Neurospora crassa OR74A: one gene and its partners. The main gene of each other region encodes a partner of the protein of the gene in region 2 in a complex. Links are inferred from orthologs where the notes say so. Each region holds a gene or a part of one and is shown on either strand. Other genes may lie near its edges.

The links.
Region 1: NCU07832 (region 2) and NCU11251 share a complex: the UniProt entries of both Saccharomyces cerevisiae proteins name them as parts of the U4/U6-U5 tri-snRNP complex. The link is inferred for Neurospora crassa OR74A from reciprocal best matches to the Saccharomyces cerevisiae genes PRP8 and PRP4.
Region 3: NCU07832 (region 2) and NCU03625 share a complex: the UniProt entries of both Saccharomyces cerevisiae proteins name them as parts of the U4/U6-U5 tri-snRNP complex. The link is inferred for Neurospora crassa OR74A from reciprocal best matches to the Saccharomyces cerevisiae genes PRP8 and SMD3.
Region 4: NCU07832 (region 2) and NCU09880 share a complex: the UniProt entries of both Saccharomyces cerevisiae proteins name them as parts of the U4/U6-U5 tri-snRNP complex. The link is inferred for Neurospora crassa OR74A from reciprocal best matches to the Saccharomyces cerevisiae genes PRP8 and SMX2.
Region 5: NCU07832 (region 2) and NCU03778 share a complex: the UniProt entries of both Saccharomyces cerevisiae proteins name them as parts of the U4/U6-U5 tri-snRNP complex. The link is inferred for Neurospora crassa OR74A from reciprocal best matches to the Saccharomyces cerevisiae genes PRP8 and SMD2.
Region 6: NCU07832 (region 2) and NCU01614 share a complex: the UniProt entries of both Saccharomyces cerevisiae proteins name them as parts of the U4/U6-U5 tri-snRNP complex. The link is inferred for Neurospora crassa OR74A from reciprocal best matches to the Saccharomyces cerevisiae genes PRP8 and SMX3.
Region 7: NCU07832 (region 2) and NCU06354 share a complex: the UniProt entries of both Saccharomyces cerevisiae proteins name them as parts of the U4/U6-U5 tri-snRNP complex. The link is inferred for Neurospora crassa OR74A from reciprocal best matches to the Saccharomyces cerevisiae genes PRP8 and SME1.

Annotation. Positions count from the first base shown.
Region 1 is NC_026501.1:4,871,908-4,875,911, forward strand, and holds NCU11251 (pre-mRNA splicing factor), read right to left. Parts: upstream 2,578-4,004; 5' UTR 2,421-2,577; coding exon 2,376-2,420; intron 2,312-2,375; exon of another isoform or gene 2,288-2,311; coding exon 2,254-2,287; intron 2,199-2,253; coding exon 697-2,198; 3' UTR 501-696; downstream 1-500. Other genes in the region: stk-11 (serine/threonine-protein kinase psk1, variant), read left to right, coding at 4,002-4,004. UniProt on the Saccharomyces cerevisiae protein: Involved in RNA splicing. Is required for the association of U4/U6 snRNP with U5 snRNP in an early step of spliceosome assembly.
Region 2 is NC_026503.1:1,010,087-1,012,836, forward strand, and holds part of NCU07832 (pre-mRNA processing splicing factor 8), read left to right. Parts: coding exon 1-2,168; intron 2,169-2,245; coding exon 2,246-2,750. UniProt on the Saccharomyces cerevisiae protein: Functions as a scaffold that mediates the ordered assembly of spliceosomal proteins and snRNAs. Required for association of BRR2 with the spliceosomal U5 snRNP, and the subsequent assembly of the U4/U6-U5 tri-snRNP complex.
Region 3 is NC_026505.1:1,887,150-1,890,904, forward strand, and holds NCU03625 (small nuclear ribonucleoprotein Sm D3), read right to left. Parts: upstream 2,460-3,755; 5' UTR 2,276-2,459; coding exon 2,228-2,275; intron 2,157-2,227; coding exon 2,096-2,156; intron 2,008-2,095; coding exon 1,878-2,007; intron 1,744-1,877; coding exon 1,632-1,743; 3' UTR 501-1,631; downstream 1-500. Other genes in the region: NCU03624 (hypothetical protein), read left to right, coding at 1-466. UniProt on the Saccharomyces cerevisiae protein: Plays a role in pre-mRNA splicing as a core component of the spliceosomal U1, U2, U4 and U5 small nuclear ribonucleoproteins (snRNPs), the building blocks of the spliceosome. Also binds telomerase RNA and is required for its accumulation.
Region 4 is NC_026501.1:6,357,876-6,361,630, forward strand, and holds NCU09880 (small nuclear ribonucleoprotein SmG), read right to left. Parts: upstream 2,391-3,755; 5' UTR 2,277-2,390; coding exon 2,247-2,276; intron 2,106-2,246; coding exon 2,034-2,105; intron 1,975-2,033; coding exon 1,900-1,974; intron 1,841-1,899; coding exon 1,760-1,840; 3' UTR 1,442-1,759; coding exon of another isoform or gene 1,248-1,441; 3' UTR 1,130-1,247; coding exon of another isoform or gene 805-1,129; 3' UTR 501-804; downstream 1-500. Other genes in the region: NCU09881 (hypothetical protein), read left to right, coding at 1-12; NCU10125 (hypothetical protein), read left to right, coding at 805-1,129, 1,248-1,441; NCU09879 (hypothetical protein), read left to right, coding at 2,720-2,822, 2,922-3,755. UniProt on the Saccharomyces cerevisiae protein: Plays a role in pre-mRNA splicing as a core component of the spliceosomal U1, U2, U4 and U5 small nuclear ribonucleoproteins (snRNPs), the building blocks of the spliceosome.
Region 5 is NC_026505.1:2,382,785-2,385,902, reverse strand, and holds NCU03778 (small nuclear ribonucleoprotein Sm D2), read right to left. Parts: upstream 1,971-3,118; 5' UTR 1,759-1,970; coding exon 1,733-1,758; intron 1,634-1,732; coding exon 1,601-1,633; intron 1,453-1,600; coding exon 1,401-1,452; intron 1,324-1,400; coding exon 1,118-1,323; intron 1,033-1,117; coding exon 990-1,032; 3' UTR 501-989; downstream 1-500. Other genes in the region: dak-1 (dihydroxyacetone kinase 1), read left to right, coding at 1-417; NCU03777 (mitochondrial 3-hydroxyisobutyryl-CoA hydrolase), read left to right, coding at 2,723-2,845, 2,920-3,118. UniProt on the Saccharomyces cerevisiae protein: Plays a role in pre-mRNA splicing as a core component of the spliceosomal U1, U2, U4 and U5 small nuclear ribonucleoproteins (snRNPs), the building blocks of the spliceosome.
Region 6 is NC_026502.1:2,951,593-2,955,151, reverse strand, and holds NCU01614 (hypothetical protein), read right to left. Parts: upstream 2,181-3,559; 5' UTR 1,870-2,180; coding exon 1,762-1,869; intron 1,560-1,761; coding exon 1,468-1,559; intron 1,358-1,467; coding exon 1,285-1,357; 3' UTR 501-1,284; downstream 1-500. Other genes in the region: pp-2 (protein arginine N-methyltransferase HSL7), read left to right, coding at 1-46, 153-335; NCU01615 (hypothetical protein), read right to left, coding at 2,606-3,559. UniProt on the Saccharomyces cerevisiae protein: Plays a role in pre-mRNA splicing as a core component of the spliceosomal U1, U2, U4 and U5 small nuclear ribonucleoproteins (snRNPs), the building blocks of the spliceosome.
Region 7 is NC_026504.1:2,807,307-2,810,027, reverse strand, and holds NCU06354 (small nuclear ribonucleoprotein E), read right to left. Parts: upstream 1,579-2,721; 5' UTR 1,410-1,578; coding exon 1,269-1,409; intron 1,205-1,268; coding exon 1,178-1,204; intron 1,123-1,177; coding exon 1,054-1,122; intron 984-1,053; coding exon 930-983; 3' UTR 672-929; downstream 1-671. Other genes in the region: NCU06353 (hypothetical protein), read left to right, coding at 34-671; NCU06355 (karyopherin), read left to right, coding at 2,348-2,476, 2,559-2,648. UniProt on the Saccharomyces cerevisiae protein: Involved in pre-mRNA splicing. Binds and is required for the stability of snRNA U1, U2, U4 and U5 which contain a highly conserved structural motif called the Sm binding site. Involved in cap modification.

The DNA of each region.
Region 1 (4,004 bases), on a different chromosome or scaffold from region 2:
TTCCCAAATAAGCGAATCCTCCCCGTGTCGCCCTTCAGACAGCTTTGAGCGGGTTGATGCGCATGGGGACTTGAGCTGCCCGGATGCTGTGAGTTGAGGGTATTGTGAATGACGTCTCTCGCGATAAATACCGGCTGGGGATAAAACCACTTGAAAATGCAGAAATGCGAGAAACGAAGAAGTCAAAGGTTCGAAAACGGACCAACGCTACAAGTTCCCGGTGATGGCGTCTGCTGCCATTGTTTTATCGCCCTTTATCAGAAAGCCAAGCTTCGCACGATGGACCGTGCGTCACCATTTCCCAGGGTGCCAGGGTGACTTTACCAACGCCAACCAACGCGAGCGGCAGGTGTCCCGCCCAACCCTGCCCGCGTCACTGCAGAAAAGAAGGGAGAAGGAATCTCAACAGGCCCACTTTCGCGGTCAGGTGACACCCCTTATCCTTACCGGGTCAGTGAAACGCAACCACAAGGCAACTCAGACGCATGTACCAAAGGCAGCTTGTTATGGGCACCCAGTTGTGGTTGTTGATCTACAAATTGAGACGGCTTCTATGCAATCTATCTGCCGATACTGTCTCTCGTGGAGCGGTAAGCCAAGCCCTGGCCTGTCGCTTGCTGAACGCCCTCCTTGGTGTGTTGCTCCTATGCGAGAGGCAACGACAAGATTCTTGTCGCGCACATGATTGATGTCTGCTCAGGAATCATACAAGCTCCTGGAGTCGTTTCTTCCCCAAAGTTTGACCGTCCGGTCATGGCCACCGCTTACAATCCATTTTCCATCCCGGCTAACGTCAACACTCGCAACAGGCCCTGTGTGGCCGCTGAGAGACTGAACCAAGGCCCAGTCGTCAGCGGAAAATATGTTCACCTTGTGGTCAAAGCCTGCCGACACCATAAAGGTGCCGGATTTTTTGGGAATTTGCATTCCCTTTTCATCTTCGCCAGGAGGCACTCCTTCCAACGGGTCATCCAACCCCTTGAACCACCGCACGTCGGCCACTGCACTTGTATGGGCACCAATGCCTCCAATTCTTTCCACTTTTCTAACGTCCCAGCATTTGATCCAACCATCAGCAGACGCCGTGAGCACCCTGTAACCGTCCGAGCCCCAGTCCAAACCATAAATAGGCTTGATATGGCCGTCCTGATGCCCATCTAGAATCATGGCAGTCCGTCCTGTCCGCAGATCCCAGATTCTTCCGATACTGTCCAAACCCGCGCTAGCGAGTAGCGATCCGTCACTGTTATAACTGACAGCGTATACACCGCGAGAGTGACCTTCCTGGAGAAGGAGCTCGGTGCCGGTTTCAACATCCCACATCCTCCATGACGTGTCTTCTGAGGCAGAAGCCAGATACTTGCCCGATGGATGGAACTCTACACGACATACTCGTTGCGAGTGTCCTGAGAGAGTTCTCAAAGGCGTGTCTTGGTTCAAAGACCAGAGATGAATCTGGCCTTCCGCTCCTCCGGAAGCGAGATTGACTGTGTCGGGAGAAACATTGCGCTCCGGCAGTGTAGCTCCAGGCATCCAGCATAGGCCGCTGACTTTGTTGGTGTGGCCCCTCAAAGTCTTCCTTGGCTCAAGGGTTGGGATTTCGATGAGTTTGACCTGTCCGCCCCAATTGCCAGTTGCGACCATGTTTCCATCAGGCGAGATCCTTGTCATGCTGATGTGCCGCTCTCCTGCCGTTTGACTGCCTTGCAATTCAAACCCTTGAAGCTTCTCCTTGATCTCTTTTCGGTGTTTGACATGTGTCCGCAGTGGGATGGTGGACTCCTTCTTCTGGAACTCGATGCGCTTCTTAGCTCTCGGGATTGAGTAGTGAGCGATGTCGATGCGGGCCTGGAGCAGTTCCGGGCTTCCAGTAGTGTAAAATTCCTCCTCTTGGTCGCCGGCTTCATCTTCCTCGTTTTCGGCGTCCCGCATCTCCACATCGGCACTTTCCTGACCTCCCTTTTCGGCTTGTTGTGTCATGAGTTCTCGTAATCTGTCGCGTCTGTCTGCCGGACCCTCGCCGAAGAGGGTGACAGGCTCGCCCATCTCTCGCAATTTGGCTCGTACCCGGCCATCGTCGGTAGGAACAGCAATCGAAGCCGCTAATCGTTTTCGTTCAAACTGCGATAGAAGAACGGAGGCCTTCTCTGGGGCAATACCAGCCCCAGCACCGGGGATGTCGTAGTCGCGATCGAGGGCTAACACGCAAATCAGTCATGGGTTGGAAGCCATACAAGAGTTTTGGGGACTTACGGACGGAGTCTAGATCCATGCCTCCGCGATCCTGCTTCAGGGGGGGTCAGTCCGGGCTCTGTTTGCAATGTTGAGCAGGTGCCTTCAATGATGCGAGGGGCGCATATAGAGCATGGTCTTACCTCAGGCTCGGCCTCCTCCACGTAGGCTCTACGCGCCGGATGCATAGTGCTAAACTTTCGGTGTTTGTTCGTTTGCTAAATCTTCTGGACACTTGAACGCGAGTAAAGCCAGGTGATTCGAGTCCGGCTTGTGGTTGCTAAAGGACCGTTTGATGTGAGGGCTCGATGTTTTGCTTGCTGTCGTGAAATAGCAGGTGATGCAATCACAGGGAAGTTTACAATGCTGGCGCCGTTGCTGTTGCGGGAGCTCCACTAAAATTTCCGGCGCATCTTCGACCCTAACCCTCAACAAGCTGTCCCACCTGAATGCGCTCATCTCGGTCCTAGCACCACGGGCACCTCGTCTTAAGGTGAACCAACGAATCGCCATGAAGCTTTCACCGATCATTCAAAGAGGTACTTGAAATTTCAAAGTTTCATGTGATATGTGATAGATTCCTTGTTGGTGTCAACATTCGTTAATACCCACTTCGCACACGGTAGGTTTGGTCCGAGGTGACATGGAAGCGCGATCACAAACGGTGCGGCCAGTTCCCCCTTCCCAGCCCGTCGATCAATGCGGTTTAATGACCGCCAATCGAGCCCCGGCTGTTCGGATTCCCCAGACTTGTCAAAACTGAAGATCGGGGTCGGCATCCAGCGGCCTTGGTACACTACACTACCTATACACACATGACACCTGCCGTGTGGTATTGGAGGTTCATTTCTGGACATGGAGAGCAACATGGGGCTTTTTTCAGGTTGAAAGCTAGTGTGGAAAAAGCCTGGAAAATGGCCGATGGTGCATTCCCTTTAATGCGGGTGAGACGTATGTCTGATGTCTCTCACCCGATTTTCACGTGCTCTCGCCAATTCCTCCTGGGACATGGAACGCCCGCCAATTCCTCCTTTTCCTTTAAGTTCACCAGACCAATCCAGCTGGTCTTTCCGCCCTTTCAGTTGCTCGCCTGCCCGGCCTGCCCGGCCTGCCCAGACCGTGACGCATGATGTGAACGCTTTTCTCTTTATCGTGGTTGGCTCAATGGCGGGATATTTGGGTGAGGCGGACGCGGCCCCCTGCCCGGCTAGTGCATTCCAGTCCCTAGGGGTACTAAATTGTGCATAGGTAATACCCAAGGTCACAAACCCGGTCCAGGCCCATCCTAATTCACTGCAGGTGCAGAGTCCGGGCTCCATTTTATTTTAACTTCTGCTGCCCACGGAACTCCATTTCATTGTTGCCATTGTCGACCTCTCTCTTCGCACGCTCCCCCAGTCACAACTCTCTTCTTTTTTCTCTTTTCTGTTTTTTTTCTCTTTCTCTCTCTCCTTCTTGACAGTAAAAACCACATCTCATCGAGCCTTTCCACCCTCAATGCATATCGAGAAGACCGTCGACGACAATTCCACTTCCTTCTTCAAGTACCAGATGCGTGCGATTCCAAGCCATCAAGGACCCAGTTTGACCACCGAACACCGCGCAGACGCTCAGCGACGCAGAGGCGAGCCTTGAATACGAAGGCCGACAGAGGCTTTGAGGGATCGTATCTGTCAAGCTATAACGAGAGCTATCTGGTCCACCGATTATAGTCCATTATACCGACACGACACCATCCTACTGCTAGCCCATCAACGACTACGACCAAGATG
Region 2 (2,750 bases):
TTCTGAGGAGGCTGTTGCCATTTACACTACTACGGTGCACTGGCTTGAATCGAGAAAATTCTCTCCCATCCCCTTCCCCAGTGTGTCTTACAAGCATGACACCAAGATCCTTATCTTGGCGCTGGAGCGCCTACGTGAGGCTTACTCGACCAAGGGAAGATTGAACCAGAGTCAGCGTGAGGAGTTGGCCTTGATTGAGCAGGCATATGACAGTCCAGGCACTACCCTCGAGCGTATCAAACGCTTCCTACTCACTCAAAGAGCTTTCAAGGAAGTCGGCATCGATATGAACGACAACTACAGCACCATCAACCCGGTCTATGATATTGAACCGATCGAGAAGATTAGCGATGCTTATCTCGACCAGTACTTGTGGTATCAAGCTGACCAGCGCCATCTGTTCCCCGCTTGGATTAAGCCTTCCGATTCGGAGGTGCCACCTTTGCTTGTGTACAAGTGGGCTCAAGGCATTAACAACCTCGACAGGGTTTGGGAGACCGCGAATGGCGAGTGCAATGTCATGATCGAGACGCAGCTCTCCAAGGTCTACGAGAAGATTGAGCTGACCTTGCTCAACTCGCTTCTTCGGTTGATAATGGACCACAACCTTGCGGACTACATCACGGCCAAGAATAACGTTACCCTAACTTACAAGGACATGAACCATGTCAACAGCTATGGTATGATTCGTGGCCTGCAGTTCTCAGCCTTCGTTTTCCAGTACTATGGTCTCATTCTCGATTTGCTGTTGCTTGGCCCGCAGCGTGCCAGCGAGATTGCCGGTCCTCCCCACGCACCCAATGACTTCCTTCAGTTCAAGGACCGGGAGACTGAAACAAGACACCCGATTAGGTTGTACACCAGGTACATCGACAAGATCTGGGTGTTCTTGAGGTTCACCGCGGATGAATCTCGCGACCTGATCCAGCGATTCTTGACAGAGCAGCCTGATCCCAACTTCGAGAACGTGATTGGTTACAAGAGCAAGAAGTGCTGGCCCAGAGATTCGCGTATGCGTCTCATGAGGCACGACGTCAACCTCGGCAGAGCTGTGTTCTGGGATCTCAAGAACCGCCTCCCAAGATCCGTGACGACGATTGAATGGGAAGACACCTTCGCCAGCGTGTACAGCAGGGATAACCCGAACCTCCTGTTCTCCATGTGCGGCTTCGAAGTGCGCATCTTGCCCAAGATCCGCAACCAGAACGATGAGTTCCCTGTGAAAGACAGTGTCTGGTCACTAGTGGACAACACGACCAAGGAACGCACCGCTCACGCTTTCCTACAAGTTACCGAAGAGGACATTCAGAAATTCAATAACAGGATCCGTCAGATTCTCATGTCGTCTGGCTCGACCACATTCACCAAGATTGCTAACAAGTGGAACACGGCGCTGATTGCCCTCTTTACTTACTACCGCGAGGCTGCTGTTTCGACCGTGAACCTGCTTGACACGATTGTCAAGTGTGAAACCAAAATCCAGACTCGTGTCAAAATTGGTCTCAACTCCAAGATGCCTTCCCGTTTCCCTCCTGCCGTTTTCTACACTCCCAAGGAGCTTGGTGGCTTGGGTATGATTTCCGGATCACACATCCTTATCCCTACTAGCGACAAGCGCTGGTCTAAACAGACAGATCTCGGAGTTACTCATTACCGTGCGGGCATGTCGCACGATGAGGAAACGCTGATCCCCAACATCTTCCGCTACATCATCCCGTGGGAAGCTGAGTTTATCGACTCCCAGCGTGTGTGGACGGAATACTCGCAGAAGCGTCTCGAGGCCAACCAGCAGAACCGCAGATTGACCCTAGAGGATCTGGAGGACAGCTGGGATCGCGGTCTGCCCCGTATAAACACTCTTTTTCAAAAGGACCGTAGCACGTTAAGCTTCGACAAGGGTTTCCGTGCCCGTTCCGAGTTCAAGATCTATCAGTTGATGAAGAGCAATCCCTTCTGGTGGACAAGCCAGAGGCATGACGGTAAACTTTGGAACCTTAACGCATACCGTACCGATGTCATCCAGGCGCTTGGTGGTGTCGAAACCATCTTGGAGCATACCTTGTTCAAGGCAACTGGTTTCCCGTCTTGGGAAGGTCTCTTCTGGGAGAAGGCCAGTGGTTTCGAGGAGTCGATGAAGTTCAAGAAGTTGACAAATGCCCAGAGGAGCGGTAAGTTCAACATACCATTTCTCTAGCATGAATTCATCATCATATGCACGCACAAATACTGACTTTGAAATACGCAGGTCTCAACCAGATTCCTAATCGTCGTTTCACGCTTTGGTGGTCGCCTACCATCAACAGAGCCAATGTCTACGTCGGTTTCCAAGTGCAGTTGGATCTAACTGGTATCTTCTTGCACGGCAAGATTCCTACTCTCAAGATCTCCCTGATCCAGATCTTCCGAGCTCATCTGTGGCAGAAGATCCACGAGTCAGTGGTCATGGATCTTTGCCAGGTCTTCGATCAGGAGCTTGAGGCTCTAAGCATCGAATCGGTTCAAAAGGAAACCATTCATCCCAGAAAATCTTACAAGATGAACAGCTCCTGCGCGGATATCCAGCTCTTTGCCAGCCACAAATGGAACGTTACTCGCCCATCGCTCCTTTTCGATACCAAGGATGTCATCGAGTCTACTACGACGAACAAGTTTTGGATTGATGTTCAGCTTCGCTATGGTGACTACGACTCTCACGATATTGAGAGATACGTCAGGGCCAAGTATCTGGACTACACCACCGACAGCATGAG
Region 3 (3,755 bases), on a different chromosome or scaffold from region 2:
TGCTACTACTGCTGCTACTACGGAATCAGAGACCAAGGGAAATTGGCCTGCGCATATCCCCTTCACAAGAAACTATCTACTAGCGGAAACTGTTCCGGCCCTGCAAGCACTGGCGCAGAAGCTCGTGCTACAGTCATCAACATTAGCGGGAGCCACCACGGCACTCGGCGGCATGTCCTGGCTCTCTGGATTCGGAATATATGAGTGTGGAGCCGTCGCCGCCTTGGGTATTGTTTTGAGTTTGAGGGGCTTGCAGAAAAGGTGGGAGAGGGCGAGAGATTTCTGGGAGGGCGAGGTTCGTGAGGAAGGACGCAAGGCTATTCGCGCAACCGAAGCCAGCATTGCCGAGGTGCTGGATAGCGTTTCTCCTGAAGTTCCCGAGGATGTGGCGGTTGAGATTGAGGAGCTGAAGGAGGCCAAGAGTGTCCTCAAGCGGGCCGAGGAAGCGCTTGCGAGGCTGAAGTAGAAATGATGGGTTGCAACAGATGTTTAGAAGGACATTCTGCAAACCGAACTTGGTCAGTTTCGGACTTCTTGTGCTTATTATTTTCCACAGCCCTCTCGCCCTGCCTGTTAGTCCCTTAGGTGGGTGTTTTGACAATATGCCCTCTCCAACTCAACCCTTAAACAGCCAGTTGTATATTTAGTCTACACGATTCACTCTCACTCAGAGCATTGTTGCAAGCTCGTCTTATGCGAGCCTCACATATAGGGACAGGCGGGTTAGAACCGGCGGACGCAACAGATCAACCAGGGCTACACTCTTATGTACCATTAAAAAAGCAAGCCGAAGTGGGAGTAAAAAGGGGGCATCGGACTTTTGTGGTAGATATCAAAAACTGTCAGCGTAGGCTGAAGATGGAATGGGTTGTGTGTACAACAACATAATAGACAAAGACGTTGAATACGTACCCTGTCTATATCAGAACCAGGGCTAGTAGGAGTTTCGCTTTCGGTGCGATTCGATCCATGCTGTATGTGCTCGCTCCTTGGCCAAGGACTCAACTGGGGGGAGACCTGAGGCTGGCTGAACACCTGGTTCGCTCTGGCTGCTAACCGTGATGAAGCCAGGTTTTCGTTGCGTGCTGACGGACGGGTAGCGGCTGTTGCATCGACCGACCATTATCGTCCAGCTGGCGGAGCGTGAAAACCCCTGGATACGCCACGCTTCTCCCATGATCATCATTTGGCAGCAGATGGATGAGCGGGGCCAGCTGGCGTCCTCCATATCACTCCTCATCGAGGCTCTCAACCCTCCAATCCCAGCCCCAGCACTCACTCCAGTCCCTTCTCATCTCTGGCCGGCCTTGAGCCACCCTCCTCCCTATCCCTCCTGTTCCTCCTTCTCTGGGCATCCAAAGCTTGCCCCCCACACTTTTCTCTTTCCATCCAACTCGCTGCCCCCCATTTTCGGTAGAAAGAAGATCAAAGTTTGCTTTATTGGTTCCCCCCACCCAAAACGCCTAAAATATCAAAATAGCGGTTGTCGTTGCGCGCGGAAAAAAAAAAGGAGCCATAATATGCCGATTATTGTGCCCCAATATTGCATTCCGTTGTGAAATTTTCAATGATTCTCGGTCTGGGTCTGGTCTTGGTCGATGAGTCTGACGACAGGCGGCGCTCGCTGTCTTCTATCTGGCGCCGCCACGACCACCGGCGCGCGCCCTACTGACTGTCGCACGACCGCGGGCGAGACCGACACCGCGGCCGCGGACGTTGCGGGAGCGGAACATGGGGGCGTTTCTGTATGGGAACACAAAAAAAAGAGGAGGAGGAAATGATTAGCTTGGGTCCTATCCGACTTATTGGGTAGGTAGGGGGCAACTGGGGAGAAGAATCGCAACGGATGAGTTGGTGGTGGCCTGGTTTGAACGTACCTCAACATATCCGGCACAATAAAGAATCGCACATGACTGCCGCGGATGTAGACTTGTTCGAGATGGCTGACGCGCCCGTCGCGGGCTGTGACGGTGATGTCCTTGAGTTGGACGTTCATGTTGTCCTCGGCTGTTTTGCGGGGGAGCGCATTGGTTAGCATGGCTGGCCAGTTTAGAGGAGTGAATGGGAATGAAGAGTTCATGGGGGTTAGCAGTACCTTCGATAAGCTTGCCACGGTAGGTCTGGCCGGAGGTGATCTCGAGAGTGACGATATGGCCCTGTGGGACAGGAGTGGTTGGTTAGCTTTTGGCAGCACTACAGTCTGTGCATAGCAATGGTGTTTACTTACCTGAGCCTCATTGAGGAGCTTGATGGGGATACCAATTGTGGAAGTCATGTTGGCGGCTGTGTTATTACGTGGTGAGGTTGGTTGGCGATGTGGAGGGGCGAACTGATCTTTCTTGGTGTTGGTTTTAGAGATTACCTAGATGGTATGCCGTAAGTACAGGCGACTTGGTTCGCGATGATAGTGGATGCGATCAGTTGCCTTTGACGTGAACGCGGCAGCCCTGTCAGCCCGGTGCTGCTGGGAATTTCGTCGGAGAGCTTAGTTGATCTTGTCAGCTGCAAGACAGCTGCCAGATCTCACGGTACGTACCGCGCATTGAGGTCCTACACTACAAGGAAGTGTGGAGGCTTCCCCACACGCCTCTTCTGCGCTGTCCCCACATTCAGTGAACTGGTGGTCTTCGGTCATCCAAAACCTCGTCATCGTCACTGACATAAACCTTCTTTCTTCAACCCATTGGCAGTAAGTGGAATTTACCGGCCTGCTGTCATACGCTTGTACTCAATCAAAGTATGAACTGTCTGGTTCAGCACCCCGAACGCCGTTATCGCTCAACTTTCCTGGCTCATGTTCCGAGTCGTCGCATGATGGCGGCCGTCACGGGGATGGGATTGTCCAACGCATTGAACACAGCATCCCCAACCTTTTTCTCAATGAGGCCTTCTTCGATGTTCTATACGCTGAATTATGTGAGGTCCTTCGGTTCTCAATTCACCCTTGTCCCCGAATATTGGACAGTCACTCCCCTCCCGCTTTGCCCCATACCACCAGCCAACCGTTGACGAGCAACTCCCACATTCTCGACGGCCTCGTCTAGCCATTGCCTATCAGCCAAGGACGGGACGTGATACAGGACAGAAAACGCCCCTCGACGTTCTCCAGACTTCCTCGCGCCCCGAGAGATGCCGTACCCGGGTCCTTCTGCATCATGCTACTACATACATGCCTCCATCCTCGCTCCCTGTCGGCCACGACCACGGCTTGCACGGCTACGTAGTCCAGCGAGTAAGGGGCCATCTGGCCTTGTCCCATTTTCAAAACGCAGTGACGGGCTGGCCAAGTGGGCCGCCGGCCAATTGCTGTGTTGTCAGCTTGATGCCCAAACCCTATGATCAAACCCCACGAACCGCCCCGGCACCGCTGAATGGGCGAGGCAACTAACCGTCTCAACCTCGAGCTGCGGCAGGTGGGTTTGGCGTGGACTGATCTTCCATAGCACTGGCTGTTATAGGCTGCATGCATGTGCATCGAGAGACCATGATCTGTGTGCGTCTGCTCCTCCGTCTTGGTTGCTCCGAGTTCTCGGTCTTTTCTCTCCACCTTCTTTGTTATCTCGCTGTGTGAGCTGGATCGTGTGGTGATGGTGCGGTACTAGCAAGCTTTGACAAGCTCGACGGCAGCTCCGGTTGCATCCCACCTCCCACCATCATGTCCTCGTCTTTGCCCTGATTGGACGTCTCACCACTCTCCAGGAGGTGTCTGCCAACTTCTAGCGCTGGACGCTACATGACATCTCAGTTCCGAGTGG
Region 4 (3,755 bases), on a different chromosome or scaffold from region 2:
TATGATGAATGAATGGAACAACGAAGCGAGCACAGACTGATTTGGGAGATGTGGGCATTCTTTGGTGGAAGTTACGCCGTGACGTATAAATCAGAATAGCTCTCAGGTGTCGCTGGGCTGTTGGAGGGAGCGTCTTGCTACTGTATACCTTATAAACGCCGTGGTTTAACCTTTTATCAATCTTCCATACAACGACATGTATATTGATTGGTGCGCTTTGTCGCAGGTGTCCTGGTGCTGCAACTTACACACCTCAACAATTCGTTATGTGATATCCCCCTATATGCCGGGCCGAGTAAACCAAGATGTCGGAGCTATCAGTTATCTACGGGTAAATGGCGAGGGGCATGAATATGGGTAATAAGAAAAATAACATGCTCATGGTTACTAAATTGCATAGAAGCGACGAGACCAGGCAGTATGTCGCGTTGATGAGCTGGTGAAGAAATCATCTTGTCGTCCCCCCTTAGCCGCGATCTCCTGAAAAACTCCATGGAGTAATAGGATAGGAAGGACTACCTCCGGATGCGGTATCCCATCTACGGCATCAGAGGATCCGATCGTACGAGACAAGTGATTTATGATAGGACGTGACTGCCGAGGACATGTCCCGCGAGATGAGTATTGGCGGCGTGGCTTGCTGAAAGATGTGACTAGATCTCAGAGCCGCCCCAATCCAGTGTGGCAAACAAAGAGTTTACCCCTGACTGCCCTTCATATACCGGACAATGCATCAACGGTACATTTCTTCCGCTTAACCTAAGAAATCAGTCAATGAGAAACCAACTCAGCAACGGCCTCAACATGACGATACACGTTCACGAACACTGCTTGCGCATGGCTAGGCGCGAGGATGGTACACCGTGGTGGGCAGCATTTCCAGAGCCAACTTCGACGCCGGTCCATATCGAGCCCCAGACTGTCCTCGAGCTTCTTGAGCAGCAAGAACATGTCGATGACATGCCCCAATCGCGCAGATTGCTGCTTGTCGATTGTCGCCGGACAGACTGCGCCGGGGGAACTGTCAGCTCATCAATCAACCTGCCCGCCCACAGCTTCTTCCCCACGCGCAAGAGCTTGTACGCTTTGTGCAAACAGGCCGGGATCCAAAAGGTGGTCTTCTATTGTGGTACGTGTTTGACTTTCTCTGTCATTGACTCTTGGGACAGAGTCCAATCAATCCTATGCTCTTTTGAACTCGTACCTCTACCGCCGACCCTCTCTAACACCGATGCTTCTTCCCCCAGGCTCCTCCGCTGGTCGGGGCCCTCGATGTGCCGCCTGGATGCAAGACTATATCAACGAAGTAGGCGGCGATCTTCAGTCGCAGGTCATGACGGGCGGGATTCGAGGCTGGGTGCGGATGTACGGCGACCGCATGGTGGACGGTTATGACGAGAAGACGTGGAAGCAGCTGTTGTCGGAGAAGAGCTGTACGTGATGAAAAACAAAAAAATCCTTTGGGTATCTTTTCTTCGACCACCGCCGCAGATGTTTCCCTTTCTAAGTTGAAGATAATGCAGCTTTCCCGAATACATGCCTCGTGTGAAACTGAACGCCGTACCAGCCAACCCACCTAGCTTTTCACCGTCCAAGACCGCGTGGAACACTGTAGATGTCGTCGTAAAGTGTAAATCGCCTTGGTATATAGTCAAATCCCGTCAATTGCCATCCGCTTATTCCGATGCCTCGCCTTTTGATGTAGGCGTTTGTAGATGCGCAGGGTCGTTTTATCGTGTTGCGAGAAGATGATTGTTGATTAGCCGCGCTGTCCTCCCCTCTCATCGCCGCCGATTCTCTCGAGAGCCTCCATCATCACAACGGAGTTACCACGAATGGTCTGTGTGCACATTCGTCAGCAGGAGACACGTCAGCACCTTTCTACAATGATAAACATACCACCATGCCAAGCTTGACCTTCTCACCACCATCCTTCTCCTCAACAGCATCGTCCAAAACAATGTTCAAGAAGACCTATGACGTCGCGAACCGTCAATCATCATGTTCGAATTCGTAAAGGGGAGATCTCGTACATCGTAGCCACGGAGAACACCAATGACCTTGCGGCTGCCGTTGAGTTGGACGAAGAGCCTCTTGTCGAGGTACTGGTTGGAAAGTGGTCGGTTAGCTCACTACACCATACTAAACAAACAATAACATGGAGTTCGAGATGCGACAATGGCATAGTCTCGACCAGCCAGCTGCCATTCAGCGTGAAAGGCAATTCTCCAAGAGTAAGTTCTTACCTTCTTCAGTTCAGGTTGTGCGGGCGCCATTGTATCTTGAGGTTGTGTTGGTTGTCTGGGATGGTCTCGAGAGAGTTGCTGCAATGAATGGCAATGGCGTCGTTCTGGCTGGGAACTCTCCACTGAAACAACCTGGAAGGCGGGCCTTGTGCAGCGCGTGCAATCGCGACCATCCCCAGTGATTTTCGGCCGCCAGGCCATCACGTGGGGACACTGATAAGATAAGAAACCGCAATTCGCGTTGCCCGTCTTTGGGTGATTGCAGTGTTCAGTGCAGTGGTGACATCCAGTCGCCCACCAGCGTCATTCTCCAGGGTGCATTTCGAAGCTTCCTAGCTGTCTGGACACCTTTTTGCACTACAAACTTACCTGTAAACAACACGCCCGCCTCAATACTACATCACTGTATTACAAACTCCCTGTCAGACAACCTACTTCCATTCTACACTTTACTCAAGTCGATCATCACAAAAATGAGCTCTTTTGGAAAGCGCAAGCCACGCATTATCCAGACCTTTGACGATGAGGATGGCGACCTTCCTACGGTGCTTGGAGGAGAGGAGCCGAAGAACGAACGTAAGTTGCTATATGGCCATGCCCATCCCTTTCCAGCATAGAAAATCTCAGTGCTGATACCAAACCAAAGAACAAGCAAGCTGATACGCCTTCGAACAGAACCAGTACCGCAAGGACCGACCAAGTTTGGGCGCAGCAAGCCTACTAAATCTTCGTCACTACGAAGAACGATCAAGATCAACGACGGTAACGATAATCCACAAGAAACCAGCGGCGACGCAATCCAACCTACGTCAACCAGCACAAGTACGGCACCCGAGGTAACAGAAGCCGAGGAGGACACTGGTGTGCCGCTCGTAGTACGGCCCGGTTTCGGCCGCTCAGTCTCCAGCAAGAAGAAGCGCATCTCAAAACTATCATTCGGAGCCAGCGAGGGCGACACGGAAGATGGCGGCAATGATACGACAACAACTGCCAGCAGCGACGTGGTCAGCGCCCCAAGCAAAAAGTCGCTGAGCCAACGAGTTGCCGAGAAGAACGCGCTTCGCAAGTCCGCCCTGACCGCACGATTCGGCACATTTGGCGCCGACGAAGAGAAGCCTCGGTACAGCAAAGAATACCTTGAAGAACTCCAAAGCTCCACGCCAGCCACACCACAGAATCTCGCCTCGCTAAGCATCATCGACGACGATGACGACGACAGCCTCAAAACCCACAGCGCACCGTTGCCGGAGGCATCTGCCGCGCCCGGGACAACGGGCGACGCCATGGACCTCGACCCCTCTGAGCTTGACGGCGCCATGATTGTTCAATCCCGCGACATGCCCCTAGCGCTCACTGGCGATGCCCCAGCAGCCCATGTCCTCACCGAAGCCGAGATCCGCGAGCGCAAAGAGCGGCGCGCGCGCCTTGCCAAGGAACACGATTTCATCGCACTCGACGATAGTGACCACTCCGACAACGACGACCGAAAACGCATCACGTTGAGTCTCA
Region 5 (3,118 bases), on a different chromosome or scaffold from region 2:
GTCGGTGGAGGGGAGTCGGACAAGAAAGCTGCTGATGAAAATGCCTGGGCCGCAGCCCTCAAACTGAGCTGTGAGGCCCTGTCCAAGTACACGCCCGCTCGTCCCGGTGACCGCACCCTGGTTGATGCCCTCTATCCCTTTGTCGATGCGCTCGAAAAGACCGGTGATGTGAAGAAGGCGGCCGAGGCTGCCAAGCAGGGAGCTGAGGGCACCAAGGGTATGAAGGCCAAGTTGGGCCGCACCGTCTACATTGGCGGGTCCGGATTCGAGCAGGTGCCGGATCCGGGCGCTTGGGGATTGGCCAAGTTCTTCCTTGGACTGGCTGGAATTGAAAAGGCTGATGATTCCAGTGCTAAGCAGGCCAAGGGATCGGATGATGGATGGGAGGAGGTTACAAGAGAGGCGGAATTGCCGTAAGAATTGGTGCTGTATGTGATCTCGATATACCCCTAGGTAGTTAGTTTGCACCACCATTTCAATGACGTACCAGGAACACCAATACAAATCATCCCGTTGCTTGTCGTTAAAAAGCACGAGAAAACATGACCGCGTCTGCGAAAACCTAAACACGGTCTGGGTATTCTGTTCGATCAAGTTACCAGAAATGAAAGATAAAAAGTTAAACAAAACCAAATACACGTTTGAACGCCGAGCTCACACTAGTTTTCCCTTTGTATGACCTTCCTAATAGCCCCTGAAAATCTGCTTGGGTTTCTCTTCTTTCCTCTCGTTCCTGCGCGGCGCCTTTTCACGGGGCGTTTTGAATTGCTTTCGTGGTTGTGTCGTCATCATGGTCGATCGAGCGGTTGAGTAGTAGTAAGGTGATATAGTCCGCATGTCTCTCGATTCAGTCGACCAACAATAGGTACCCTTCCCGGGCTCATCCCCACTCCATTCGAGCCATTAACCCTAAGTTGTGCTGGCGCGTGTCTTCGCCGTGCAAGTGAAATAAACCTCCAACCTATACATTTTGCCGTGCTATTCGTGAACTAGCTGAGGAGGACAAGGATGACGGAGTCGCCTCTCAGGAACCTGCCAGGAAAGTGAAACATGTCAGCCATTGATCTTCGCTTCTCCTGGGCGAGAGAAACAACAGATGAAAAGGAAGTGCACAAACATCTTGCTGATAAACCTGTCCTTGTTTACGGGCTTGCCCTTCTTGCCATTGGCCAGTCGGGGCGTCTCGGTCCACATCTCCTTGACGTTCTCCAGCACCATGTTCATGTGGCGATCGAAAGCCTTGACGCGCGCAAGGATCTTGCGCCCATTGCGGACGGAAATGAGGACTTGGGAGTGGCTGCGGACGGCGGTCTGGAGGATGGACTGCCAAAAAGGGTGTCATATTAGTCGCTGCTCCGTGTCGAAGGGGTGGTAGATCAAGGCTTATGGGGCATATGTACCAGAGGACCGGCGGAGAACTCGTGCTCTTCGAGGAGAGAAACTTCGTATTCACTGTATCAGACGAGTTGGTTAGCTTTGTGATTTGGCTGGGCGGGCGTCGTGGTCTTGGGTCGCAAAGAGGAGGAGCTGGGAGCAGCAGGGCGGGCGAGATGACGATGGTAACAGAGGGAGGTGATGTTGACAAGAGGATATAACGTACGTAAGCTCATTGCGCGGCTTCGTGAGAAGCTCCCTGTATAGTAGACAGTTGTTAGTCAAGTTGGTTTCCTTGAAGCGTCCATGGGCTGCCCGCGCACATGGGTTGATGCTGGAGAGTGGGATAGCTACTGACTGAATCTTTGCATCCGCTGAAGCCATGACGATGGTGTTTTGGTCTAGAGTTGAATTGGAGTGGTACTGAAATGTAGGAGGGGCAAATGAGTTGTAGTTTTGTCTTTGTATCAAAAATGGTTGTTGACGTCGAGTGGTTGCTTCGCGTGGTATGGGTTGGTGGTGTACGGTAGAAGCCTGGACAATAGTTGCTGTAATGGATGCTATCGCTATCTTCAATCCACGACGGGAAATGTTGCAGCAGCGGAGGGCCAGGCGCGGCGGCGACTCGGAGCGTGGAGCAGCTACAGCACACGCGCCAAGCTTTTCTGGGAACAGAACCGTCTTCAAAGTTTGGCGATTGGATGACAAGCTCACGGTGGATCCCAATGCGAAAGGCTGAGGACCGCTCCGGTGACAGGTGCTGCCAGCCCCGCCGAACCCGACATGCTCCCCCGGACAGCCGGGACATCGGGTTTCCAGTGAGCGGAGGGCCCGAGCGTCGCTTCTGGAAAATGACAAGTTTGAATGGATAGAGGTATCATCGGCCGGAGGATATTCCAGCTTCTAGCGATAGCGGCGGGGATTCGGCAGGTTCCACAGCTACCTCTACACTATGTATTAGCTCCCCCGTACCTAACCCCGCCCCGGGGATTGCCAGGCGCGGTGCCCTTGAAAATCAATTGAAGCTGGAGCTCCATTTCGCGTTGAATTCCAGCAAAAAGTGGATTTGCAGATACTCTCGCTATCACTTATCACGGTTCCTGCATCCACGCGGCATTCAGATCATTGGTGATTGTTCTCCCGTTTTCCCTTTCCCAGCCCAGGAAAACGAGTCCCGAAAAAAAGTGCCCGAGTCCCTTGGCCGGTCTATGATGCAACAACGGTGCTAAACAGCCTCGGGGTGGATTTTGGACTTAGTATTTTTCTTCCATATTGACCCTGGGTCTTGTTATTCCATTCCTATTCTAGACAAAGCCAGCCAGCCAGCCAATTACCGAAGTGTACATCGATGTTGGTCTCCAAGTCCATTGCCAGCCGCGCCGGCTTGGCTTCTGCTGTTGCTTCTCGCAGCTGCCGACCAAGCTTCACCGCGATGCCGCTCAGAGCCAAAGTCCTGGGCCAGCAGGCCCCAGTAAGACGCTCCTTGGGAAGACAAAAGCCATGGACACGGACACAGCTAACACGCTCGCCGCCCCCTCCTCCCAGATCTCGACCCAAGCCGCCGCCGAGTTGTTCAAGCCCGTCGAGGGTGACGAGCCCGAGGATGTCCTCTTCAACAGTCTATATAATCTCCGCTCCGTCGAGCTCAACCGCCCAGCCAAGTACAACGCCCTCAATGGCTCCATGATCCGCAAGATCGCGCCCCGTCTCCTCGAATGGGAACGCTCCGATATGGCCAACGTCA
Region 6 (3,559 bases), on a different chromosome or scaffold from region 2:
GAGCAAGGACATGATTTCCTGGTTCCCGATTTTCTTCCCTCTTAGGGTGAGTTTTTATCTCTTCTTCCTTCATTTCTTGTTTTTCTTGACTTTTCGCTCCTCGCTCCTGCTTTGGTGACGATTACTGACCCTGTTTCTTCGACGATACATAGCAACCCCTCTACTTCCCTCAGGACACCGAGCTAGAAGTCAGCATGTGGCGCCAGACCGACGACACCAGGGTGTGGTACGAGTGGATGGTTGAAGTGTATGCTTGGGTGGGTCCCAAGACCCGTATCAAGGTTGGCGCTTCTGAGATGCATAGCAGTCGTAAGGTTGCCTGCATTTTTGGTTAGAAGAGAGGAAATGTAAAAACGGAGGTAACTAGGTACCAGTAGGTGGTGGGCAAGGCTGGCTAGGTCGGGTGTTAGGAGTGTGTAAGTATGCAGCTGTAACAAACGCTGCGAGGAAAAGGTCAAAAGTCTTGTTTTAGCGAAAGAATAAAAGATTCGAAGTCAAATGGTGGATAGAATGTTCATAATTGGGAAGGCGCGCGATGTGTATGATGATGGTGACTGTCTTTGCCTGTAGTCGTGTGATGTATAGGCAAGTGGAAGTTGAGACTAACAGAAATTCACGCCGCTCGTTCTCTTTTTCTTTCAGTTGAAATAATACCTGGAAACCAGACGCCATGTCCGCATGTCTAACTCAACCCGCCACTTCCTTTTCTTTGCTCAGTACCTAGATGATGTGTGGTCTTGACAGATTTTTGTTTCTTTCTTTCCTGTTAAGCTGAGTATTGTTCCAACATCTTATTTTAGCCTTTATCTTCAAGGAAAGGCCAGATGGCACATGCTCCTTTGACGGTCTTGCGCAGGAGATGCAACGAAGGTCTCTACCAGACAGAGAGACGCTCGGTACCCATCCATCCATCCATCCACCGTTCACTCTCTCTTGAAGCAAATCCGCCCTTCCGTACCACTCTCCACACCATGCGCGCCCGATATCATCAAAGCTGTTGTCGCACCTTTCGTGAAGCGCACACTTTCATCATTGGGAAACGAGTTTTCGGCGAGCGGGTGCGTTGTGGTTTGTGCTTCGGTTCGGCTCGGTTTGGTTTGGTCGGTAGAGTAGATCCATCTCTTCTTCTTCTTCTTTTTTCCTCCCAGGGTATTATAGTCGGAACATCACGACCCTCCCTCCTCACACATTCCTCCTGTCTGTTCTGCAAATCGCGCCCTTCACCACCCTGCCCGCTAGTCTAGGCTACCCTTTCATTTCCTCCTCCTGGTGGCGAGAGAACTTTCACTCTTCCATCTTGACGTCGCCACTTGTTTCCGCCTCGTCGGCCTTCTTGATGTAGAGAACGTTGTTACACCTATTGTTGAAGTCCATAATGTCAGCATCCCGGCTAGTTGATACGAGATGGGGGATTGGGTCGTCCGTATGGAAAGCCGTAGCAGTGGGATGTATTCAGTATGGACGTACCTGATCAGAACCTGCCCCAAGGCGCCCGTAAACTTGCGGTTGATGTACTCCTTTGTGTCGCTGAGCTGAATGTTCATGTAGCTATCGATGCTCTGTTGTTCACATGCACACACGCATTTCGTCAGCCTCTCTCTCTTTGTTCTTCCTTCGTTGCTCCTTGGTCCTGCCTGCTGGTTTCCCCCTCCCCTCCCCTCCCCATCGCTTCCCACAGCTGTGTATGCCAAGACCAAAGTCCAGCGGCAAAGGGAAGGCTAGATTGGAAGAAAGATGCTGGATATGTATATATATACGTACAACAAGACGGCCAACATACTCCGTCTCTCCCCACTTCAAGCGGATCGTCACAAAGCTGTTGACGAGATCTTGAAGGAAGGGACGGGGGTTAACTGGGACAAAAGACATGTTGTCGGTTTCGGTTCGAAGGGTTGGTTCTTGGTCAAGTGCGTGGCGCCTTGTGTGTGTATTCACAGGCTTGCTGTTGTTGTTGTTGTTGTTGTCGTCGATGGGACGGCTCGAAAGTTGGATTCGCGATTCGGCTTGGTGCTAATGGAATTTTGTATTTGTCGGTTTTCTTAGATGTGTAAGAGTGGGTTGTGGTCGGGTGGACGCAACAAGGTCGAGGTTATGGTTATGAAAAGTTGGGAAGAGAGATGGGATTGGCGTTGATGCTATGATGGAAGAAGCTCCAACTGGGACTGTGCCTCCAATGCTGGACCTTTGCGGCGTTGGAGTAGCGCGACGATGGAAGTTCCTCTGTTACGAGGGACATGTGGAGCCCTAACGCGATAGCTGATTGGACGTGGCAATAAGCCTGTCTGATTAGTAGATTACAGGGTTAGGGTTGGTGGCTAGAGGATACTTGATGTTGTTGACAGCGACGATGATGAGCATCACCAAGACCTTTATGGCGATCCTTTTGCTTATCATTACTCAGGTACATAGCTTAGTGTATTCTTTCACTTCTTCACTCAAGTTTACCTGGTGACATCTCTCCCTGATTATTTCCGATGCCCACTTACACCTTCAGGTCAAGACCCTCGAAGACGCCGATGTTTTGAAACGAAATGGAAGGGGACTGTTCAGGACCTGACAGGAAGTCATTTTGAATTAATAAAGTCCCATACTGGGTGAAGATATTTTACTCAATCTCCTCAATCCTAGGTCTACCGCCGAACATCTCAACACCGCCACTACTTCCACCACTATCATCACCACCATGGGAAACCGACCTCTCCGGGTCGACAACCAACCCAGCCAGCTTCGTTAACCCACCACCACCGAACCCTCCTCCTCTTGCCTGGCTCAACGACACTTCATCCACCAAGCTATTCGTCTTCCAATTCTCCAAGCTCTCCAGCACATCCCGACAATACTCCCTGACCAACCCATCCTCGTCCGTCTGCTCCACATACCCCAAAATCGTCCTCAGCTGCTCCTGCGTCTCACTCCCAAACGCAATCCCCAACACCCTCCCCTCGTGCTTCGCCTCGTCCATGGCCTTGATAAAGCTCATAATCAGCCTCACCGCCGCCCTCCTGAGTATCCCCTTCTCCAGCTGCCGCTCTACCTGCACAACATTAATGCACAGATCCACGCTCGCCATCGTCAACACCGCCGCGACACCAACAATATTCGTCTCGATGCAATTCGCCAGAATTGACAACGCAGAGGCACGGATCCTTACATCCTCTTCACCCGTTTTGGAAGTACCAGACGACCACCCTTCTACAATCGCCTCCAAGATATCAAGCCTAGCCTGCTCCTCAGCAGAAATCGGATCCGCCATATCCGGCACGCTGCCGTCCCACGCGTCTTCGGCTTCTTTATGCTTCTGTTCCCGCGCCTTAGCCTCGCGCGCTTGGCGCGCCATGGTCTTGGGCCGATGCCCCCGGCGCGATGCCAGGCTGATCAGGGCTTCGCATGTCATCTTGGCTAGGTCGCCGGTGAAGGTCTGGCCCAGTCGGTCGACGACTTGGAGTAGGGCCTCGCCGAAGCGGAGGCGGGCGTCGACGGTCGCCAGGGCGGATTCGCGCGGGTCCAGGTAGCGGTCGATCAGGTCGGTGAGGACGGCGCGCGGGTGGGCGTTGGCTAG
Region 7 (2,721 bases), on a different chromosome or scaffold from region 2:
TACTGCCAGCGCAGACTAAATCCGCAATTGCAGGTTCTGTGGTCTTCAACACTCTGAGGAACTTCAAGCCCTACGTAGACGCCAAACGGGTCAGCGTGTTCCTGTCCATGCCCACGGGCGAGATCCAGACCGATGGCATCGTCAGGCACGCTCTAGAGTCCGGCAAGGAGGTTTTCATCCCGTATCTTCACAAGAACCCTCTGGCCTCGCCCAACCTCCCAGCCCGCGTCATGGACATGGTCCGCCTCAGAGATCTTCACGACTATGAGTCCCTCAAGCCAGACAGATGGGGCATTCCCAGCATCGACCCGGCCACGGTCCATGAGCGGCAGAGGGTGTTTGGAGGTCCCGACGCCCACCACTCCGACCAAACCCTGCTTGACTTGATCCTCATGCCCGGCGTGGCCTTCGACATTGACCCGGAAGCTGGGGCCATCAGACGGCTCGGACACGGCAAAGGCTTCTACGACTACTTCATCAACCGGCACAACCAAAAGTCTGTCGAGCTGGGGAAGCAGGAAACCCCTGTATTGCTTTATGGCTTAGCGCTGTCTGAGCAGTTTCTATCCTCTCCATCCGAGGGGTCGGTACCTGTTGGTCGCCACGATCAACCTCTGGACGGCCTGATACTCGGAAATGGCGAGATTAAGAGCCCTCCTGCACCCAAATAGTTCCATGACCTGATATCCATCCCGTACTGCCTTCCTTTGATCAAATACATATAGTCGACATTCCTGTGCGCCTCGGCCAATCGCTTTTCCCTGGTATCTCTTTCGTAGATTCGGTGTCGTTTGTTGTGTAGAAGGCCACGCACCACATCTTTGTGGGCCGTCTATGTACAGCTTTAGATCTGCTGGCTCGTCGCTCGATGTAGGTCCCAGCGTAAATTGCATCGTCGATTACCGCTTCTCCTTCAGGTTTGGAGCTCTTCACCCGGAGTAGCTCTGGATGAGCGAGACATTGTCGCCCTTCAGGAGGATTTGCTGCGACCCAGTTAGCCACCCTTTCCACTGCCACAACAACATCGACGTCCAGCCCTAAACATATTCTTACCCCAAGCTCCCTCCTCTCCTCCGTCTCGTTTGTCTTGGAGACCAGCTTGACCTCAATCGCATTGTCGATCTGTGGAAATGGGGTTAGGTCTCGTAGTGCTAGTGGGACATGCGCCGCTACTCACCACCAGGTTCATGAACTCGTCGAAGCCCTGTAAGACGGAATTGTCAGCACCTATGTTTGCTCTTCGGGGAGGTCACGATGGAGAATCCTACACGAATGGTGCCGATGATGCGAATGTGAAGCTGCTCGTACAGCCAGATTTGGACGGTCGAGTGTTGTTGCAAAAGACGGAAGAGGAAGTTGATGGGAGGAAGAAGAACACGGCGGTTGCCGCCACCACCTCTGCCGGTCATGTTGAGAATAAAAGTTTGTTGTGGTTTGGTCGTTTGGCCGGTGTTTAGGACAGAAGTTTGATGGTGATGTGGAGGCTGAACAAGTAAGTCGCAATCAAGTTGTGGATGGTCGTTGTTGGTCGGCTGGGCTTGGCTTGCAGTTGTTCCCAGACGCGTTCTCTCTACGGCCGGGACGTGACTTCAATGAATTTCCCCCGAATGTCGAATTGCCTGCCTGTCTGTCTCTGGCGTGTGGAGCTCTTGTTTTCACAAGCACCTCCCGCCGGGGACGGGACGGGAGCTGCTCAGCTGGTCTGTGCACTTAGTTACATGCTGCTGGGCCCACAGCGTCGTGTCATAACCTCTTGGCATTCAGCTCAATTCACTTTTTCCGAGCTGCTTGGGTTCTCAAGCCACAGAATCTTCAGTTTGGGGTAGCATGAGCCCCTCCCGCTTGTCCCACTTATGGCGGTGCAGGATGTGCTTCCACTTTCTTTGACCCGCTTGCCCGCCGCCGTTTACTCCACTCGCGGTCGGTCGGTGTCAGGCAGCCTGACGTTCTTCGATTGTTGGCGGGATGTTTTTCAATCGTCGTTTCTTTGGACGCTCAAGAGCAAATCGTCGCCGGCAACCTCCAACTTGCAGCAATCCTGTCACCACGGCGGCACCGTACAATACCTCCCAGTCCTTTATTCTTGCAACCTCTCTGGAGCTTCATATACCCCGTGCGCATCGCAGCTCCTCGCCTTTACAACAACATATCCTGAAAGCTTCCATCGCGTCGCAAGACCGATAAGTCGGACAACACTCCTGTCGAATAGGAGGGGCTGATCCATCCACTTTGCGACCTGCGATACCCCAGCGATAGCTTCCACTTGCAACACCGCATCGCAACACTTGCCATCACAACACTTGTATTCGAGCTAAATCACATCATACACAATCCGAAGCTGCCCAACATGGCTTCCAACGGCGCCACAGACGGCTTCACCACCCCAAATGTCCTGCAGGCCATGCTGACGATGCGGAGTGGTGACTCCGGTTCCAAGAAGGCCGCCATGGACTACCTGCAAAAGTTTCAGAAGTCGGTCAGTTGGGCTTTCAGCTCCTTCGACGCCAACACACCTATGGTTCGCATGTGACTAACCCGCATTTCTCAATCGACCGTAGAACGAGGCCTGGACTACCACAATATCGATCTTGCAGGGCTCTCCCGAAGCCGAGGCGCAACTCTTCGCAGCAACGACACTGAAGGGCAAGGTACTTACAGATACCCATTGGATCACGACGATACCGCTACGCTTGTATGTCGCGCACCGCTGACATTCACGAT